2 linked regions of the Struthio camelus genome follow. The protein of the gene in region 1 purifies or fractionates together with the protein of each later gene. This does not show direct contact. Links are inferred from orthologs where the notes say so. Each region holds a gene or a part of one and is shown in the gene's direction. Other genes may lie near its edges.

Region 1 (10,005 bases):
CTGTAGGAGGGAATTGGGTGCCCTGCCGAGGGTTGAGGGTCCCCCCAAGCCCCCCCCCCAGGAGCAGGGGGGAGGCAGGTTTGGGGGTCCGTCGGCGCTCCCCAAGGCCGGCGGTTGCCGTCGCCCCGCAGGAGCGCGAGCCGGTGCCCGTGTACCACCCCACGCCCAGCCAGCGCCGCTTGGCCACCCAGCTCACGGAGGACGAGCAGGTCCGCATCGCCCAGCGCATCGGCCTCATCCAGCACCTGCCCCGCGGCCTCTTCGACCCCGGCGCCGAGCCCTCCGAGAAGAAAACGAAGGAGTGAGTCCCCCCAAAACGCCGGCTGGGGCGGCGGGGTTCGAGCTCGGGGAACCCCCATCCCCTCCCGGAGGCTGTTCCTGCCTTTGCCATGCCCACCTCATCCCCGTTTCCGTTTCCCCGGGGATTTTAAGGGCAGGAGGGACGGCGGAGTGCCGATTTCTCAGCCTGCAGCCCCCCGAAAGGCTTGATCGCCGCCTCGGGGAGCTGCCGGCAGCGCCCAAAAGCCAGGTTTCACTTCCCTGCCTTTTCCGCCACCCCGCAGGTGCGTGATCTGCATGCTGGAGTTCACCTACGGAGACCCGGTGCGGTTCCTGCCCTGCCTGCACGTCTACCACGTGGCCTGCATCGACGACTGGCTCATGCGCTCCTTCACCTGCCCCTCCTGCATGGAGCCCGTCGACGCCGCCCTGCTCTCCTCCTACGAGACTAACTGAGCTGCCGCGGCGAGGCCGGGGCCGCGGAGGGGGCTCCTCGGGCTCCGGTTCTCCCCCTTTTTTTGCACGCTAAGAGGATGCACCAAAGACTCCGAGTTTCCCGGTGAAAGGCTGCCTCCTCCGGGCCTTTCGGGAAGAGTCGGCGCGGCTCCGAAGATGCCCTGCGTCACCCGGCCCCGTCTCGGCCTTTGGGAGCAGCCCTCGCTCCCGCCGGAGGAGCGGAGCAGCCCTCGGAGCCGGAGGCGGCCCGCAGAGAGGCCGGATCCCGGAGGGCTGGTTTCTTGGAGAGGAGCAGAAGCCCCTGCCCTGTTTTTAAGGAGTTGTTGCTCCTCTTTTTTTTTTTGCTTTAAATAGTCCTTTAGCAGCTGCTTTGATGGGTGCCTGGAGCTGGTGGCCGCTGTGCCTGATGCCAGAGCTGCGATTGAAAGCGGAGGAGCCCGGCATTCCCTGTAATTCGGAGCAATCCCACCGAGAACGATTTATCCGGGCTCCTGGGGATGCCGGATCCTCTCGGCTTGGGGAAAAGGAGGCCGCGCGGCCCTCGCTGCCCCACTTCTCCCCCTCCGTCAGCTACGGCTTCGTTTTAACGTTCCCGCCCGAGACATTCCCTTCCCCGGGTGTTTTATAGGAACGGAGCCGAGCCCGGTTCAGCGGCGGGTTTCAACACACCCACCGACAGGGTCGGAAGCGGGACCGGGCTCCATTTTCCGGCCCCGAGCGCCTCATCGGACTCTCCAGGACGTTCCTGAGAGCTGGTGGCCGGCCCAGGGGGGCTCCTACCGCCTCCGCATCCCCCTCCCTCCCCGTTTCGGGTCTCTCCCTCCTGCCCGGCTCGCTGGCCCGGGGCGGGGGCCGCCGGCGCCTCGCCGGCTTCGAGGCGCGGAAGTGCTCGGCCCGCCGCGATGCCGTCCCGCCCCGGCGCTGGGCGGGCAGCGGGAGGGGGGCGCGCGGCCCGTTTGGATGGAACGAATAAACCGTATGGCCTAGCTCCGCGTGTCCGGGTGCGGCAGGGTGGGGGGAAGCAGGGCTGGGGGGGGGGTACAGCGCATCCTGCTCCCCCTGCGGCTCCAAAGGAAAATTAAAAAAAAAAACAACAACAACAAAAGGAAGAGCCGCGGCCTGGCGTGAAATCCTTCCCCGGGAGGAAGGTGCAAGAGCAGCTGGGGAGGGTGAACAGACACAGCAAGACACCTCTGTTCGCAAGAGAATTTTTATTCAAAAAGGAAAAGAGCCAGAACGTTTAAACATTTGTGAAGGATTTTCAGAATAAAAGGGGCTGCAGGATCGGGGAAGCAGGGTCAGTCCGGGCTCCGGGCGACCTGTTCCACCTCCTCCGGCAGCTCTCCCTGCCGACCGGAAGGGACGCGGAGGCGCAGGCAGCGGCAACAGCTCTCATCCGCACCCTCCCGGAGCCGCCTGGGGGAGAAAAAAACAGGACAAGGGCACCCGGACGGAGGTAGAAACCTCGGCACAGGGCGGATTTAAAGCTCTTCTTGTTCCCTCCTGCCCGGTGAGCGATGCCGAGGGCGGGCAGCCCCCCCCGCCGCCTTCGCGAGTGGATATTGCCGAAGCCTCCGGTTATCCGAAAGCACCGAGTGACTTCGGGAGAGCCTGAGCCCCTGGGGGAAGGGGAAAAAATAAACAGCCGGAGCTCGCTGTAATGTCGCTGTTACCCCACGGAGGAACCTACATGGGAGGGAAAAAAGAAATCCCTCGGAGTACAGCGGTGAGGCCGGGCAACAAAGGCAGCGGGGAGGGCAAAAGCTCCACCGGGACGCAGCCCCCGCGCCAAGAACACCCAGGAAGCGGTTAGCGGCTTCGAAATATCCGAGGTCTTTAATGACTCAATGCAACAGCGGCGCCCTCGCCGACGAGTTTTTACCCTTCGCGACAGCCAGGCGGGAGCGTTTCTGTCCCGCCAGCTACGGTTTCTACTCGCGGAAACGGAGGCGGAACGGGAAGAGACCAAACCGGGCGGGAAATCTGGGCACGCGGCGGGAAGACAAGCGGCGAGGCAAAGCCACGGGAATCTCGGAGTTACCGACGCGGAAGCGAGCGGGGCGACGGGGGTGGCTCCGGCCGGCGGGCGGGCGCGCGGCCCCCACAGGCGCGTTCCCGCTACAAAGAGCTACGGCCAGTCCAGAGTCCTTATTTCCCAGCAGAACGAAAGAAGGGTTAAGTCAGTGAATAAGAGACTTGGCGATGTCCCCGCGTGCCCAGGTGCGCGTGTGACAGAGAGAAAGAGAGAGAGAGATATATATATATTTTTTTTACATATAAAAACACCTCGAACAAGCCGCTGGGAGCACTTGGTGGATGTCTGTGCGAGCCGCTAGCCTCCTCCGCTGTTTAAATAAGTATGTACAACAGGGAAACAGTCCGTGCGGGCACCGGGAGAGAGGCTATTTCACCAGGGGCCTGGTTTTGTCGTCGTCGCTGCACTGATGGGCTTTGTATTTTTTCACTTCTGCCATGTACTTGGCCCAGGCGTCTCCTTTACTTGTCAAAACCTGCAGAGGAGGGAGGGGAGGGAAAAAATAACAAAGGAAGAACAAACAACACCGGTGATAAGAGGCGAGTCTGGAAGAGGGGTTGTGGCAGGCAACGCCCCGCTCCCCCGAGGGGATTCGTGCTTGCAGGATCCTGGCAGTGAAGGAAACCCCCAAATTCGGACAAACGGGCTCCCCCGGGGCGCTCGCGATGGCCGCAAGCTGCAAACCGGCTCTGCCCACAGCGACGGGCAGCACCGCAGGAGGCAGCGAGGGGCCGGCAGCGCCCCTCGCCCCCGTTTTCCCGCTAGGCCTAGCCGCTCACCGAAAGAGCGAGGGGGCAGAAAAGCAGCTGCGGACCCAAAACCGCCCCCAGGGAGGAGGCAGGGAGCCCCCATGCCCCCCCCGTCCCGTCCCAGGGCTACCTACCTCCTCTTCGGTCTTTTGCTTCTTGGCTACCACTCCCGTCTTCAGGGCTAGCTTGTTCCCACCTCTCCGCCTGCCCACCTGGGTGAAGGGACAGAAGACTGCAACCGTTACCCGAGCCGCGGGCGCTGCGGGGACAACGCTGCCCACTATACAACGGAACAGGGAGGCCTTCCGTTAGATGGTCCGTCGCAGCGCCGCGGGCCGGCTCCTCCCGCCGCGGCCCCCGCGGGGAACCCGCTCGTCGCTAAACGGCCAGTTTAGCGGTTTCGGCGGCGGACCTGGCTCGCCGCGACGGCCGGCGCCCCGAGGGTAGCGGCCGGCTTTCTACGCCGCGACAGCGCTGGGAAGGAGCGGGAGCGGATCAGCGCGTCGGAGCTGCTGCGATTCCTCGACAGCAGGGGACTTTACTACGGCATCGAGGCGCTTTGGACGCGGTTTAACAAGGAGGCGAACGCAGGCGCTGCGGCGAGTGACCGCGGCCGAGGCGCCCCGGGCAGCGGAGGGCTACGCCAGCCGGCGGCTCGCCTCTGTTCGGCCTCCGCTGGTGCTGCTCCCAGGGGATTGGAAGCCGCCAAGCAGCAGGTCAGGGAGGGAGGGGACCGTTTGTCAAAGCCTGAAGCAGCCAAACCCTAAAATTCAGCCCATAGGGACGCGCCCCTTCCCGGCGCAGCCCAATCCAGGCACGCTCGGAGACGCGAACCCGCTCGGTTCGGCTCACGGGGGTCTCCTGGCACCCCGACCGCTGGCCGCAGGCTCCGGGGCGCCCCGGGACCGCACACAACAACGCGGCTCCCCAAAGGGCCGGCGAGCAACGGCCTCAGCGGACCTGAGCCCGGCTCCCGGCACGCTCTGCCGGTGAAACCGGGGCCGATACTCACGTCGGGGGAGCGGAATCGTCCGGTGAAGCTCTTCCGCCTACCTGAGCCCAGAGGGTGGCTGCCGTTAAGGGGAAAAAGCGCCCCCCACCCAGAGCGACCCCGGGCGTGAGCAGGGGGGAGAAGCAACGGCATCACCGGGGCCGGTGAGGAAAGGGGGGGTGGGGGAAGAGCGTGGGGAGCTGCCCTTCTGCAGGCTGAAACCACCCCGGAGAACCGGGGAGGAACCGGGCCCGGTGGGACGGCGGGTGCGAGGGGCCCGGGCAGAGCGGGGAGCGGCCCCCGCAGCGGGGGGAGCGGGGCGCGGGGCGGCGGCGGCCCCCCCCGGGGGTCCTTACGAAGCTGAGCGCGCCGCCGCCGCCGCTCCTCTTCTGGCCGTCGGCCGAGCGGTGCGGACCGGGCCCGGTACCGGCACCTCCGGGGGCCTCGGCGGCCGCCGCCGCCGCCGCCTCGCGTTCGCGCTGCTGCTCCTCCTCCATCTTGCGCTTGAAGAGCTCCAGGAAGCTCCCGTCGTTGGCGAAGACGTTCACGCCGCCGCCGGGGCCGGGCGGCGGCGACGGGGCCTCCCCGTCCTCGCCGTGGTCGGCCATCTTGTCCGCCGCGAACGCCGCGCCGCGGGGCACCACGGGAAACGCCCCGCGCCCGGCGATGACGCGCGCGCGGGGCACGACGGGAAGCTCCGCCGCCGCCCTCCTATAGGGGCCGCGGGGGGAGGGTGACGCGGAGGACGGCGGGAAACGCCCGCCGCTAGGCACGACGGGAGCCGCGCCGAGCTGACGGGGCAGGCGCGAGGGCGCTGTTGCCAGGCAACGGGCGGGCCGTGAGAGCCCCCCCCCCTCCCCGCGGCTGCTCGCGCCGGACTGTCAGGCTCGGGGCCAATCAGCGAGGAGGCGCGGCAGCTGCGGCCAATCGGCTGCCGGCGGAGGCGGAGCAAGAGGGGGTGGGCGGGCTCGAGGAGCCGCCCCGGGGAAGAGGTAGGACTTGCTCCAGCCAATCCCGCCCGGCGGGCGTGCGAGCTGGCCAATCAGCAGCGGAGGGGGGCGGGGCCGGGCTGTACCACCGCCGTGCGGGCCGCGGGGGAGGAGTGAAGAGCGGGGCCGCCATAACGGGGAAAGGCCTCTCCGGTGCGGCCGGGCGGCGGCGGCCGTGATCGTGGCTTCCCGCCGGAGCGGCTCCCTCCTGCCGGCGGCCCCGCGGCGGCGGCCGGTGCCATAACTCCCTTCTTTTCCTTTCTCCCCCCCCCCTGCGGCGGAGGCGAATGGTGCGGCCCGGCGCCGGGGCAGGCGGTGCGGTTCGAAGATGGCGGCGGCGGGGTCCGGGTGGGGGCCCGAAGCGGACGAGTTCGAGGACGCCCCCGACGTGGAGCCGCTGGAGCCGACGTTGGCCAACATCATCGAGCAGCGGAGCCTCAAGTGGATCTTCGTGGGGGGGAAGGGCGGCGTGGGCAAGACCACCTGCAGGTGGGGCCGGGGGGGGGGAACACCGGGCCGGGCTGGACCAACTCGGGTGGTGGGGGGGGGAACCGGACCGGACCATTTGGGAGGGGGGAACCGGACCGGACCAGCTCGGGGTGGTGGGGGGGAACCGGACCGGACCATTTGGGAGGGGGGACCGGACCGGACCATTTGGGAGGGGGGACCGGACCAGACCAGCTCGGGATGGGGGGGGAACCGGACCGGACCATTTGGGAGGGGGGACCCGGACCGGACCATTTGGGAGGGGGGACCGGACCGGACCAGCTCGGGGTGGTGGGGGGGAACCGGACCGGACCAGCTCGAGTGGGGGGGACTGGACCAGGCCGCACCACTGGGGATTGGAAGAGGGGGACCTGGCCAAGACCACTTCGGGGGGGGTAGGGGGACCCGGACTGGACCACCTCGGGGGGGGGGGACTGGATCAGGCCACTTCTGGGGGGGGGATTTGGACTAGACCACTTTGGAGGGGGTTAGGGGGGATCCAGACTGGACCACCTCGGGGGGGGGGACTGGATCAGACCACCTCAGAGTGGGGGGACGTGGACCAGACCACTTTGGGGGGGAATGGACTGGACCACCACTTGGGGGGGGACAACACCAGACCAGGCTGCACCATTGGGAGTGAAGGGGGGGGCTGGGCTGGACCACTTTGGGGTGTGGGGGGCAGGCTGGTCACCCTTGGGGGGGAGAAGGAGCCCCCCTATTGCTGAGGGGGGACAGTGGCATCATAGGGCCACCCTATGGGGCAGGACCGGGTGCCTGGAGGGGGTCCCGGTGGCAACAGCCCACCCCGGTGACACCGCGGCCCCCCTCCTCCCCACCTGCCCCCCCCCCCAGCTGCAGCCTGGCCGTGCAGCTCTCCAAGGTGCGCGAAAGCGTCCTCATCATCTCCACCGACCCCGCGCACAACATCTCCGACGCCTTCGACCAGAAGTTCTCCAAGGTCCCCACCAAAGTCAAGGGCTACGACAACCTCTTCGCCATGGTGAGTCCCCCGGCGGGCCCCGGCGTCCAGCCTTCCCCCCCGTGCCCCCCCCACCACCCTCCAGCCCCTCACCCAACCTTTCTCCCCCACCCCGGCCCCCGGCAGGAGATCGACCCCAGCCTGGGGGTGGCCGAGCTGCCCGACGAGTTCTTTGAGGAGGACAACATGCTGAGCATGGGCAAGAAGATGATGCAGGAGGCCATGAGCGCCTTCCCCGGCATCGACGAGGCCATGAGCTACGCCGAGGTGATGAGGTGAGCGGGGGGCCGGGGCGGTGCAGGGCCGATAGGGCCCGGGGACGGCCCCCTGCCATGGGGAACGGGGCGCCGGGGACCCGCCGTCCCCGCTGAGGCCCGGCGTCCTCGCAGGTTGGTGAAGGGCATGAACTTCTCGGTGGTGGTGTTCGACACGGCGCCCACCGGCCACACGCTGCGGCTCCTCAACTTCCCCACCATCGTGGAGCGGGGCCTGGGCCGCCTCATGCAGATCAAGAACCAGATCAGCCCCTTCATCTCCCAAGTGAGGATGAGGAGGGGCGGCTGCGGGGCGGCGCCGGGGAGCGGGGCTCGCACGGGTGGCGCCGGGGAGGGCCCTCGGGTGGCACGCGGGGGACGTCGGTGTGTGGCACCAGGGAGACCCCACGCGTGGCACGAGGGGGCTCTCACGCGCGGCACCCGAGGGGCCTCGGTGGTGGCACCAGGGGGGCCTTGCGGGTGGCACCGCGAGGACCCTTGGGGGTGGCCTCGGGGAGACCCCCCCCCCCCCGCGTGGCGGGAGGGGATTCGCACACGCGGCACCCGAGGGACCTCGTGGGCGGCGTGAGGGCGCTTGCAGGCGGCACGAGCGGGCTTAGACCTGCCGCGCGCAGGGGGGACCTCGCGGGTGGCACCGCGGGGACCTCGGGGTGGCCTCTCCCGCAGATGTGCAACATGCTGGGGCTGGGCGACATGAACGCCGACCAGCTGGCCTCCAAGCTGGAGGAGACGCTGCCCGTCATCCGCTCCGTCAGCGAGCAGTTCAAGGACCCGGTAAGGGCCCGCCGGCGCGGGCACGGGGGACGCCTCCGCTGGGGCGGGGGACACAGCACGGCCAGCCCACGGGGCTGGGGGACACCGGGGAGGCGCCAGGGAACGTGGCACTCCCATCCGGCGGGGGGAGAGGTGCCAGGGGACACTGAGGAGGTGCCGGGGGACACGATGCTTCTGTCCCCCGGGGCCGGGGGACGCCGGGGAGGTGCCGGGGGACACAATGCTTCTGTCCCATGGGGCCGGGGGACGCCGGGGAGGTGCCGGGGGACACGATGCTTCTGTCCCATGGGGCCGGGGGACACTGGGGAGGTGCCAGGGGACACTGGGGAGGTGGCAGGGGACATGACGCCCCCGCACCGCGGGGCTGGGGGACACCGGGGAGGTGCTGGGGGACACGATGCTGCTGTCCTACGGCGCCAGGGGACACCGGGGAGGTGCCAGGGGACACGACGCTCCCATCCGTGGGGCTGGCAGACACTGGGGGACACCGGGGAGGTGCCAGGGGACACGACGCTCCCATCCGTGGGGCTGGCAGACACCGGGGGACACTGGGGAGGTGCCAGGGGACACGATGCTGCTGTCCCACGGGGCCAGGGGACACCGGGGAGGTGCCGGGGGACACGATGCTGCTGTCCCCCGGGGCCAGGGGACGCCGGGGAGGTGCCGGGGGACACTGGGGAGGTGGCAGGGGACATGACGCCCCCGCACCGCGGGGCTGGGGGACACCAGGGAGGTGCTGGGGGACACGATGCTGCTGTCCTACGGCGCCAGGGGACACCGGGGAGGTGCCGGGGGACACGACGCTCCCGCGGCGCGGGGGCTGGGGGGACACTGGGGAGGTGCCAGGGGACACGACACTCCCATCCATGGGGCTGGCAGACACCGGGGGACACTGGGGAGGTGCCAGGGGACACGATGCTGCTGTCCCCCGGGGCCAGGGGACGCCGGGGAGGTGCCGGGGGACACGACGCTCCCGCGGCGCGGGGGCCGGGGGGACACCGGGGAGGCGGCAGCCGAGCCGGCCCCACCGATGCAAGCGCGTTGCTGCGGGGAACGCACCGCGGCGGCGGGGCCGGCCGGACGCCTGGGCCCCGCGGGGGCTGAGCGTCGCCGGCGGGCCGGCAGGAGCAGACGACGTTCATCTGCGTGTGCATCGCCGAGTTCCTGTCGCTCTACGAGACGGAGCGGCTCATCCAGGAGCTGGCCAAGTGCCGCATCGACACGCACAACATCGTGGTGAACCAGCTCGTCTTCCCTGACCCCCAGCGGCCCTGCAAGATGTGCGAGGCCCGGCACAAGATCCAGGCCAAGTACCTGGACCAGGTAGCGCCCGGACGCCTGGGCCCCCTGCTGGGGGGAGGAGGGGTTGGGGGGTGGGGGGGGAGCCCGGACGCCTGGGTCCCCTGGCCCAAAGATGGGAGAGGAGGGAGTCTGGGGGGGGGCAAAGTTTGAGGATCCCGGATGCCTGGGTCCCCTGCCTGAAAACGGGAGAGGAGGGAGTCTGGGGGGGGGGCAAAATTTGGGGGTCCTGGACACCTGGGCCCCCTGCTTGGGGGCGGGGGGGGGAGCCCGGACACCTGGGTCCCCTGGCCCAAAGATGGGAGAGGAGGGGGTCTGGGAGGGGCGGGCAAAGTTTGGGGGTCCCGGACACCTGGGCCCCTCCCCAGCGCCCTGACGGGTGGCGGGGGGGAGGCTCCCGGATGCCTGGGCCCTTCTCCAGCACCCTGGCGGGTGGGGGGGGGGTGCTCCCGGACACCTGGACCCCTCCCCAGCGCCCTGATGGGTGGCAGGGGGGCTCCTGGACACCTGGGCCCCTCCCCAGCGCCCTGGCGGGTGGTGGTGGGGTTGCTCCCGGACGCCTGGGCCCCACCGGGGGGGGGAGGGGGGGCTGCCCTGCCCTCTCGCCCGCAGATGGAGGACCTGTACGAGGACTTCCACATCGTGAAGCTGCCGCTGCTGCCCCACGAGGTGCGGGGGGCCGACAAAGTC
Region 2 (9,870 bases), on another chromosome or scaffold:
GGAAGAGCAACTGGTGCGTTTAGGGGGGGCCCCGGAGCCCCGTCCTCGTCCCTGACCCCCCCCCGGCCCGGCCCCCCGCCCCTGACGCTGTCCCCGTCCCAGCCTGCCGCTGCGCTTCTGGGTGAACGTCATCAAGAACCCGCAGTTCGTCTTCGACGTGCACAAGTCGAGCATCGCCGACGCCTGCCTCTCCGTGGTGGCCCAGACCTTCATGGACGCCTGCTCCACCTCGCCCCAGCGCCTGGGCAAGGACTCGCCCTCCACCAAGCTGCTCTACGCCAAGGACCTGCCCGCCTACCGCGCCTGGGTCGAGAGGTGGGGACGTGGGGACACTGCGGGGACACTGCGGGGACCTGGGCCTGCCTGCTGCCCGCGCCTGGGTCGAGAGGTGGGGACGTGGGGACACTGCGGGGACACTGCGGGGACCTGGGCCTGCCCGCCTAGTGCGCCTGGGTCGAGAGGTGGGGACATGGGGACACACTGGGGACACCGCGGGGGCCTGGGCCTGCCCGCCTAGTGCGCCTGGGTCGAGAGGTGGGGACGTGGGGACACATTGGGGACACTGCGGGGACCTGGGCCTGCCCGCCTAGTGCGCCTGGGTCGAGAGGTGGGGACATGGGGACACACTGGGGACACCGCGGGGGCCTGGGCCTGCCCGCCTAGTGCGCCTGGGTCGAGAGGTGGGGACGTGGGGACACATTGGGGACACTGCGGGGACCTGGGCCTGCCCGCCTAGTGCGCCTGGGTCGAGAGGTGGGGACATGGGGACACACTGGGGACACCGCGGGGGCCTGGGCCTGCCCGCCTAGTGCGCCTGGGTCGAGAGGTGGGGACGTGGGGACACATTGGGGACACTGCGGGGACCTGGGCCTGCCCGCCTAGTGCGCCTGGGTCGAGAGGTGGGGACGTGGGGACACACTGGGGACACTGCGGGGGCCTGGGCCTGCCCGCCTAGTGCGCCTGGGTCGAGAGGTGGGGACGTGGGGACACACTGGGGACACTGCGGGGACCTGGGCCTGCCCGCCTAGTGCGCCTGGGTCGAGAGGTGGGGACATGGGGACACACTGGGGACACTGCGGGGACCTGGGCCTGCCCGCCTAGTGCGCCTGGGTCGAGAGGTGGGGACGTGGGGACACACTGGGGACACTGCGGGGACCTGGGCCTGCCCGCCTACCGCGCCTGGGTCGAGAGGTGGGGACGTGGGGACACATTGGGGACACCGCGGGGACCTGGGCCTGCCCGCCTAGTGCGCCTGGGTCGAGAGGTGGGGACGTGGGGACACACTGGGGACACTGCGGGGACCTGGGCCTGCCCGCCTAGTGCGCCTGGGTCGAGAGGTGGGGACGTGGGGACACTGCGGGGACACTGCGGGGACCTGGGCCTGCCCGCCTAGTGCGCCTGGGTCGAGAGGTGGGGACATGGGGACACATTGGGGACACCGCGGGGACCTGGGCCTGCCCGCCTAGTGCGCCTGGGTCGAGAGGTGGGGACGTGGGGACATTGGGAGGACAGGGGAGCACAGGGCTGCCTGCCTGTCACATCCGGGGGGGGGGGGGCACTGGGGACATGGAGGGGGGCATGGGACCTGTGCACCCACCATGCCTGGATCAAGAGGTGGGGACATGGGACGGGGGGACATCAGGGACATTGCTGGGGGGCACATGGCACTGCTGGCCCTCCTGAGTCCCTCCTCACCCACGGGTGGTTGGGGGGGGGGGATTTGGGGTGCCCACAGCCCTCCAGGAGTTGGCAGGCTTGGAAGGGTTTGGGGGGGGGGTCCCGGCTGCCCCCCAGGAGCTGTGGGGCGCCCCCAGGTACTACCGGGCCGTGGGGCGGCTGGCGCCCATCAGCGAGGGGGAGATGGACGCCTTCCTGGCCGAGCAGTCGCGGCTCCACGCTGGCGAGTTCGACACGCTGGGGGCTCTGGGGGGGCTCTACCAGTACGTGGGGCGCTACCGCGATGAGGTGGGTCCTCCCAGTAACCCCCAGTACAGCCCAGTCCCCCCCCACCAGAGCTGCAGTAACTGAGGCTTACCATTCATTCCCCCCCTGAAATGGTACAGGCCAGTGGGACCCCCCCCCATTACAAATATTGGTACAATCCAGTAGATTCCCCCCAATAATGGTATGATCCATTGGGAGGTTACCCCCCAATAATAGTTCGGTCCATTGGTTCCCCCCCCCATGATAATAGCCATGATAACAGCAGTCGAGTAGTGCCCCCTCCCCAAATAATAATGGTATGCACCAATGGACCCCCCCCATTACAAATAATGATAGAATCCAGTAGGAACCCCCTTTAATGGTACAATGGTACAATCCATTAAGTTCCCCTATCATGGTATGGTCCAGTGGGGTTTTTTTCCCCCCCCCAAGGTTTTGCAGAATGGTACTGCCCAGTAGACCCCCCCCCCAATCAAAGAGATGAGGGAGTCAAGGGAAAGTTCCCCCCCCAATTAATGGTATAGTCCAGTGGGCAAAACAGTAATGGTGGGACCCGATCGATGATTCCCCTGCTCCATAGTAATGGTATGGCCCAATGGGCCCATTCCTCCAAAATAGTAGAGTCCAGTCTGCACACCTCCCCAGCTGATAATGGTATGCTCCACTAGCTCCCTGTCCTTTCACTGGTACACTCCAGCCCCCCCCAGCTGATAGTGGCACCGCCCAATAACAGCCCCCCCCCCCCAAATAGTACGTTCAGGCCCCCCCCAGCTGATAATGGCATGGCCCAATAGCAGCCCCCCCCCACCCCAAAATAATGGTATGTTCCAGTCCACCCCCTCACTGATAATGGCATGGTCCAGTAGCAGATTATCCTCCAACAACGGAATGGTCGAGGGCCCTCACCCCCCCCAGCTGAAAAACACCCCGATAGTGGTATGGTCCGGGAGCACCTCCCCCCCCCCAAACTAGTATGTTCTAGTGTCCCCCCCCCACAGATAATGGGATGGTCTGGTAGCAACTACTTCCCCCCCCCGTAATGGTACACTCCAGTAGCGGGTCACCCCCCCCCCCGCAGTGGTGTGACCCCCCCCCCCCCCGCAGGTGCTGGCGGCGCTGGAGCGCGACGCCGGGTGCCGGCAGCAGCGGCTGCGGCAGCGCCTGGAGCAGGTCCTGGCCCTGCTCGGGCCCCCGGCCTGACCCCCCCCGGGGGCCGGGACCCCCCCCGGCCCCGCCCGCCCCCCCCCCCCCGGGCGCGGTGCCTTATTTATTGTGTCTGTGCCCCCCCCCCCATGTTCGTTAACTTGGTGTCGCGCATTAAAGTGCTCCCCTCCCCCAAAAACACAGCAGCCTCCCGCGGGCTTTATTTCGCGGCACGACCCCCCCCCCCCGGCAGCTTGGGGTGGGGGGGGGGCAGGTCCGGGGGGGTCTCACTGGGGGGGCCCCAGTTTGGGGGGAAACCCCCAATCGCTCAGGGTCCTCCCCGCCGAGCCCCAGCCTGGGGGGGGGTGTCCCATTTTGGGGGGGGGGTCCCCAGTCCGGGGGGGTCCCCGTTGGGGGGGGTCTCAGTCCGGGGGGGTCCCCAGTCCGGGGGGGTCCCCGTTGGGGGGGGTCTCAGTCCGGGGGGGTCTCAGTCCGGGGGGGTCCCCAGTCCGGGGGGGTCCCCGTTGGGGGTGCCGGCTAGCGGGGCCGGGGGGGCCCGAAGCGCTCCATGGTCTCCACCACCAGCTCCAGGTGCTCCAGGAAGGAGCCGACGGCCACGCGCAGGCTCCGCGCCTCCGGGGCCCACCACCGCCTGCGGGGGGGGGGGGAGCTGCCGCGGCCCCCCACAGCCCCAACCTGCCCCGAACCCCCCCAGCGCCCCCTCCTGCCCCACGACCCCCATCCTGCCCCATGACCCCCCCATCCTGCCCCCTGCACCTCCTCCTGCCCCCAAACTGCCCCCATGACCCCCCATCCTGCCCCCACTGCCCCCTCCTGCCCCCAAACTGCCCCCATGACCCCCCATCCTGCCCCCACTGCCCCCTCCTGCCCCCAAACTGCCCCCATGACCCCCCCATCCTGCCCCATGACCCCCCATCCTGCCCCCAGCGCCCCCTCCTGCCCCCAAACTGTCCCCTGCACCCCCCATCCTGCCCCCTGCACCCCTCCTGCCCCCAAACTGCCCCATGACCCCCCATCCTGCCCCCTGCACCCCCTCCTCACCTTCCACCCCCTCCCCAAACTGGCCCAATGACCCCCCTGCTGCCCCCAAACTGCCCCATGACTCCCCCATCCTGCCCCCTGCACCCCCTCCTGCCCCCAGCGCCCCCTCCTGCCCCCAAACTGCCCCCATGGACCCCCCACTCTTTTCCCATTCCTGCCCCCCACCCCGCCGTGCCCCAAATCGCCCCCGGCGCCCCCCGCTCACGCCTGCAGGTGGGGGCCGTCCAGGGCCAGGTCCCGGCGGACGCCCCCCCGGCGGGGCTGGGCGTCGGGGGCCAGGGAGCCGTGGGCGATCTGCGCCTCCAGCGCCGACGGGAAGGGCACGCTCAGCCGGCTGGCCGCTAAGGAAGCGCCCCGCGCCCCCCCCGGGGCCCCCCCCAATTCCACCGCTAAACCTCCCTCCCCGGCCCACGATTCCCCCCACTTCCCTCCCTACAGCCCCCCCCCAAACCCCATCGCTCTCCTCGCTGCCCCCCCCAATTCTCCCTTCAGACCCCCCAAACCCCCTCTCAGCCCCTCCCCATACGCCCTTAAGCTCTCTGATCCCCAGAGGCCCCCCAGTATCTCCCAGTTCCCTCCCTGGGCTCCCAATTCCCCCCCCAGGCACCCTAAACCTCCCCTGGGCCCCCAACTCCCCCCCCGTGACCCCTCAGTTCCCTTCCAAGGCCGCCCAGCCTGCTCCCCAGTGCCCCCCTCTAGGCCCCCCCCAGTACCTCCCAGTTCCCTCCTTTGGCCCCCCCAGTTCCCCCTCTAGGCACCCCAATGCCTCCCTCTGCCCCCCCAGTCCCTCCCCCAGTGCCCCCTCTGCTTCTCCAGCCCCCCAATTCCCTCCCAGCCCCCCCCGGACCCCCATAACCCCTCAGAGCCCCTCCAAAGCCCCCTGACCCCCCCAGCCCTCCACTGCCCCCTCTGCCCACCCCACTGCTGCCCCTGTCCCTCTTTAAGCCCCCCAGGCCCCTCCCAGCCCCACAACTCCCCCTCTAGCCACCCTGATCCCTCTCTGGGACACCCAATCCCCCCCCAGCGCCCCCAGGGCTCCTCCATTTTCTCTCCAGCCCCCCAGCTCCCTCCCAGCCCCCCCATAACCCCTCAGAGCCCCTTCAGCGCCCCCTCCTCGGCTCCCAGCCCCCCCGGTGCCCCCCGGACCCCCAGCGCCCCCCGCCCCGGGCCAGGATACAACTCCAGCCCGTCTCGCGCCTCCGCCGCCATCGCGCCGACCGCTGGCGACGTCACAGGCCCCGCCTCCCCCTCCGCCCGGCGCCGCTCTGGCCCCGCCTCGATGGGCGGGAGGGGGCGGGGAAGGGAGCGAGTGGGCCGCTCTGGCCAGCCGGTCCTCCAGGCGGGGCCGTTAGGGGGCGGCGCTACGGTGGCCGCGCGGCGAGGCGCTCTAGCCGCGGCGCTCGCTGGTGGCCGTTAAAGGGCCCGCGGCCCCCGCGGCGGCGGCGCTCCCGCTCCCGCCATGCTGCTCACGGTGAAGGCGCTGCAGGGGCGGGAGTGCAGCCTCCAGGTACCGGGGGGACGGACGGCGGCCTCGGAGGGTCACGCAGGGGACGGCGCCGGGGGAGGGGGGAGGTACGGGTGCTGGGGCGGGCCATGGGGAGCGGCGGGGGCGGGGTACGGGGCCCGGCGGGGGTCACAAGAGGGGAGAAAGCGGAGCGATGGGGCTGGCGGGGGGGCGGCCTCGGCCGGGGGGGCCGGGGGGGGTCTGGGTAAGGGCTCCCCCCCTTACTGGGGGGCTAGTTTGGGGGGCTCAGGGGGTCCCCCCTTGCTGGGGGGGGGTTGAGGGACTCCCCTATTGCTGGGGGGGGTGGTTTGGGGGGGTCAGTGACTCCCCTTGGGGGGGGCTGGTTTGGGGGGGGCTAGGGGCTCCCTTTGCAAGGGGGGGCTGGTTTGGGGGGGCTCAGTGACCCCCCTTGCAGGGGGGGCTGGTTTGGGGGGGGGCTCGGGGGCTCAGGGGTTCCCTTTGCAAGGGGGGGCTGGTTTGGGGGGGCTAGGGGCTCCCTTTGCAAGGGGGGGCTGGTTTGGGGGGGCTCAGTGACCCCCCTTGCAGGGGGGGCTGGTTTGGGGGGGGCTAGGGGCTCCCCTTGCACAGGAGGGCTGGCTTGGGGGGGCTCAGTGACCCCCCTTGCAGGGGGGGCTGGTTTGGGGGGGCTAGGGGCTCCCTTTGCAAGGGGGGGCTGGTTTGGGGGGGGCTCAGTGACCCCCCCCTTGCAGGGGAGGCTGGTTTGGGGGGGGCTAGGGGCTCCCTTTGCAAGGGGGGGCTGGTTTGGGGGGGGCTCAGTGACCCCCCTTGCAGGGGGGGCTGGTTTGGGGGGGGCTAGGGGCTCCCTTTGCAAGGGGGGGGCTGGTTTGGGGGGGCTAGGGGCTCCCTTTGCAAGGGGGGGCTGGTTTGGGGGGGGGCTCGGGGGCTCCCTTTGCAAGGGGGGGGCTGGTTTGGGGGGGCTAGGGGCTCCCTTTGCAAGGGGGGGCTGGTTTGGGGGGGGCTCAGTGACCCCCCTTGCAGGGGGGGCTGGTTTGGGGGGGGGCTCGGGGGCTCAGGGGTTCCCTTTGCAAGGGGGGGCTGGTTTGGGGGGGCTAGGGGCTCCCCTTGCACAGGAGGGCTGGCTTGGGGGGGCTCAGTGACCCCCCTTGCAGGGGGGGCTGGTTTGGGGGGGCTAGGGGCTCCCTTTGCAAGGGGGGGCTGGTTTGGGGGGGGCTCAGTGACCCCCCCCTTGCAGGGGAGGCTGGTTTGGGGGGGGCTAGGGGCTCCCTTTGCAAGGGGGGGCTGGTTTTGGGGGGGCTCAGTGACCCCCCTTGCAGGGGGGGCTGGTTTGGGGGGGGCTAGGGGGCTCGGGGGCTCCCTTTGCAAGGGGGGGGCTGGTTTGGGGGGGCTAGGGGCTCCCTTTGCAAGGGGGGGCTGGTTTGGGGGGGGCTCAGTGACCCCCCTTGCAGGGGGGGCTGGTTTGGGGGGGGCTAGGGGCTCCCTTTGCAGGGGGGGGCTGGTTTGGGGGGGCTAGGGGCTCCCTTTGCAAGGGGGGGCTGGTTTGGGGGGGCTCAGGGGCTCCCTTTGCAAGGGGGGGGCTGGTTTGGGGGGGCTCAGTGACCCCCCTTGCAGGGGGGGCTGGTTTGGGGGGGCTAGGGGCTCCCTTTGCAAGGGGGGGCTGGTTTGGGGGGGCTCAGGGGCTCCCTTTGCAAGGGGGGGCTGGTTTGGGGGGGCTCAGTGACCCCCCTTGCAGGGGGGGCTGGTTTGGGGGGGGCTCGGGGGCTCCCCTTGGAAGGGGGGGCTGGTTTGGGGGGGCTCAGTGACCCCCCTTGCAGGGGGGGCTGGTTTGGGGGGGGCTAGGGGCTCCCCTTGCACGGGAGGGCTGGCTTGGGGGGGCTCAGTGACCCCCCTTGCAGGGGTGGGGGACGATTTAGGGGGTTCATCCCCCCCCTTGCTAGAGGGGGGCAGGTCTGGGGGGGCTCAGGGGGAAAGGGCTGGTTGGGCAGGGGGCTCCAGGCCTGGGCGCGGGGCAGGTTGGGGGGCGGCGGCGGCGGCGGGGGGGGCAGCTCAGCACGGTGCCCCCCCCAGGTGTCCCCCGAGGAGCGGGTGGGCGCCCTGAAGCGCCTGGTGGCCGAGCAGCTCGACGTCCCCGTGGCCCAGCAGCGCCTGCTCTACCGCGGCAAGGCCCTGGCCGGTGGGTGCCGGGCCGGGGGGGCCGGGGGGGCCGGGGGTGTCACCGCGCTGTGCCGCCTGTGCCTGTCCCCCCCCAGACGAGCTGCGCCTGTCGGACTACGCCATCGGGCCCGAAGCCCGGCTGAACCTGGTGCTGAAGCCGCCGGAGCGGGCCGGGGGGGGCGAGGAGGGGGGCCGGGGCGCGGCGCCCCCCCCGGCGCCCCCCTTCCCCGCCATCTGGGCCCAGCTGGGCCGGGTGCTGGGGCGACACTTCGGGGCCGCCGACGCCGCCCGCGTCCTGGAGCAGCTGCACAAGGTGGGGGGGGGGCACGGACCGGGGGGGACAGGGACATGGGGGGGGGCACGGACGTGGGGGGAACACGGGGAGGGACACGGACCGGGGGGGGACAGGGACACGGGGGGGACACGGACGTGGGGGGAACACGGGGGGGGACACGGACGGGGGGGGGACACGGACGGGGGGGGGACACGGACGGGGGAGGCACGGGGCGGGCACGGACACGGGGGGACAGGGACACGGGGGGGACACGGACGGGGGGGGACACGGACCGGGGGGGACAGGGACACGGGGGGGACACGGACCGGGGGGGACACGGACCGGGGGGGGACACGGACCGGGGGGGACAGGGACACGGGGGGGACACGGACGGGGGGGGACACGGACCGGGGGGGACAGGGACACGGGGGGGACACGGACCGGGGGGGGACACGGACCGGGGGGGACAGGGACACGGGGGGGACACGGACGGGGGGGGACACGGACCGGGGGGGGACACGGACCGGGGGGGACAGGGACACGGGGGGGACACGGACGGGGGGGGACACGGACCGGGGGGGACAGGGACACGGGGGGGACACGGACCGGGGGGGACACGGACCGGGGGGGACAGGGACACGGGGGGGACACGGACCGGGGGGGACACGGACGGGGGGGACAGGGACACGGGGGGGACACGGACAGGGGGGGGGACACGGACACAGGGGGGACACGGACGTGGGGGGGGGACACGGACGCGGGGGGGCAGAGGCGAGCCGGGGGGCCCGGGGGTGCGGACCCCCAGCATGCGGGCACCCGGGGGCTCCGGTGTGGGACCGGGGGGGGTCACAGCCGCCGCCCCCCCCGCCCCCCCCTTCCCCGCCAGGACTACGAGCAGAGCCTGCGGGCGCTGAGCCTGGACGACGTGGAGCGCCTGGCCGCCCGGCTGCTGCAGCCCGAGGGGCCCCCCCCGCCGCCCCCCCCGGAGCCCCCCCGCTGCCCCAGCGCCCCCTGACCCCCGCGTCCCCCTGCTCGTTCGGTGGTTCCCAGTATAACCAGTTCTCTCGGCGTCTCGCTGCTGTCCGCCCGCTTCTCCCGGTGCGTGCTGCCCCCCCCGGCCACGTTCTTCCAGTGTCTCCCAGTGCTCCCAGTGCCCCCCCAGTGCCCCCCCAGTGTTCCCAGTGCAGCCAGTGCTCCCAGTGCCCCCCCAGTGCTCCCAGTGCAGCCAGTGCTCTCAGTGCCCCCCAGTCCTCCCAGTGGCCCCTCAAGTCCTCCCAGCCCCCCCAGTGCTCCCAGTGCCCCCCAGTCCTCCCAGTGGCCCCTCAGTCCTCCCAGCCCCCCCCAGTGCTCCCAGTGTCCCCTCAAGTCTTCCCAGTGCCCCCCAGTCCTCCCAGTGCCCCCCAGTCCTCCTAGTGTCCCCTCAAGTCTTCCCAGTGCCCCCCAGTCCTCCCAGTGCCCCCCAGTCCTCCTAGTGTCCCCTCAAGTCCTCCCAGCCCCCCCAGTGCTCCCAGTGCCCCGCAGTCCTCCCAGTGGCCCCCCAGTCCTCCCAGCCCCCCCCAGTGCTCCCAGTGTCCCCTCAAGTCTTCCCAGTGCCCCCCAGTCCTCCTAGTGTCCCCTCAAGTCTTCCCAGTGCCCCCCAGTGCTCCCAGTGCCCCCCAGTCCTCCCAGTGTCCCCTCAAGTCCTCCCAGCCCCCCCAGTCCTCCCAGTGGCCCCTCAAGTCCTCCCAGTGCCCCCCCAGTCCTCCCAGTGGCCCCTCAAGTCCTCCCATTGCCCCCCCAGTGCTCCCAGTGCCCCCCCAGTGCTCCCAGT

The links.
Region 2: the proteins of GET3 (region 1) and UBL4A purify together in Homo sapiens (affinity purification with mass spectrometry; 4 studies listed by BioGRID and IntAct, with this or other methods). This does not show direct contact. The link is inferred for Struthio camelus from reciprocal best matches to the Homo sapiens genes GET3 and UBL4A.

Annotation. Positions count from the first base shown.
Region 1 is NC_090972.1:4,313,293-4,323,297, reverse strand, and holds the start of GET3 (ATPase GET3), read left to right. Parts: upstream 1-5,560; 5' UTR 5,561-5,827; coding exon 5,828-5,988; intron 5,989-6,840; coding exon 6,841-6,988; intron 6,989-7,093; coding exon 7,094-7,242; intron 7,243-7,356; coding exon 7,357-7,507; intron 7,508-7,908; coding exon 7,909-8,016; intron 8,017-9,141; coding exon 9,142-9,339; intron 9,340-9,927; coding exon 9,928-10,005. Other genes in the region: RING finger protein 11, read left to right, coding at 132-301, 564-735; TRIR (telomerase RNA component interacting RNase), read right to left, coding at 3,138-3,245, 3,654-3,731, 4,867-5,118.
Region 2 is NC_090979.1:61,576-71,445, reverse strand, and holds the start of UBL4A (ubiquitin-like protein 4A), read left to right. Parts: upstream 1-5,483; 5' UTR 5,484-5,608; coding exon 5,609-5,656; intron 5,657-7,699; coding exon 7,700-7,805; intron 7,806-7,881; coding exon 7,882-8,099; intron 8,100-8,946; coding exon 8,947-9,075; 3' UTR 9,076-9,158; intron 9,159-9,870. Other genes in the region: PLXNA3 (plexin-A3), read left to right, coding at 1-13, 103-315, 1,815-1,965, 3,049-3,144; EKC/KEOPS complex subunit LAGE3, read right to left, coding at 3,625-3,739, 4,355-4,483, 5,327-5,358. UniProt on the Homo sapiens protein: As part of a cytosolic protein quality control complex, the BAG6/BAT3 complex, maintains misfolded and hydrophobic patches-containing proteins in a soluble state and participates in their proper delivery to the endoplasmic reticulum or alternatively can promote their sorting to the proteasome where they undergo degradation.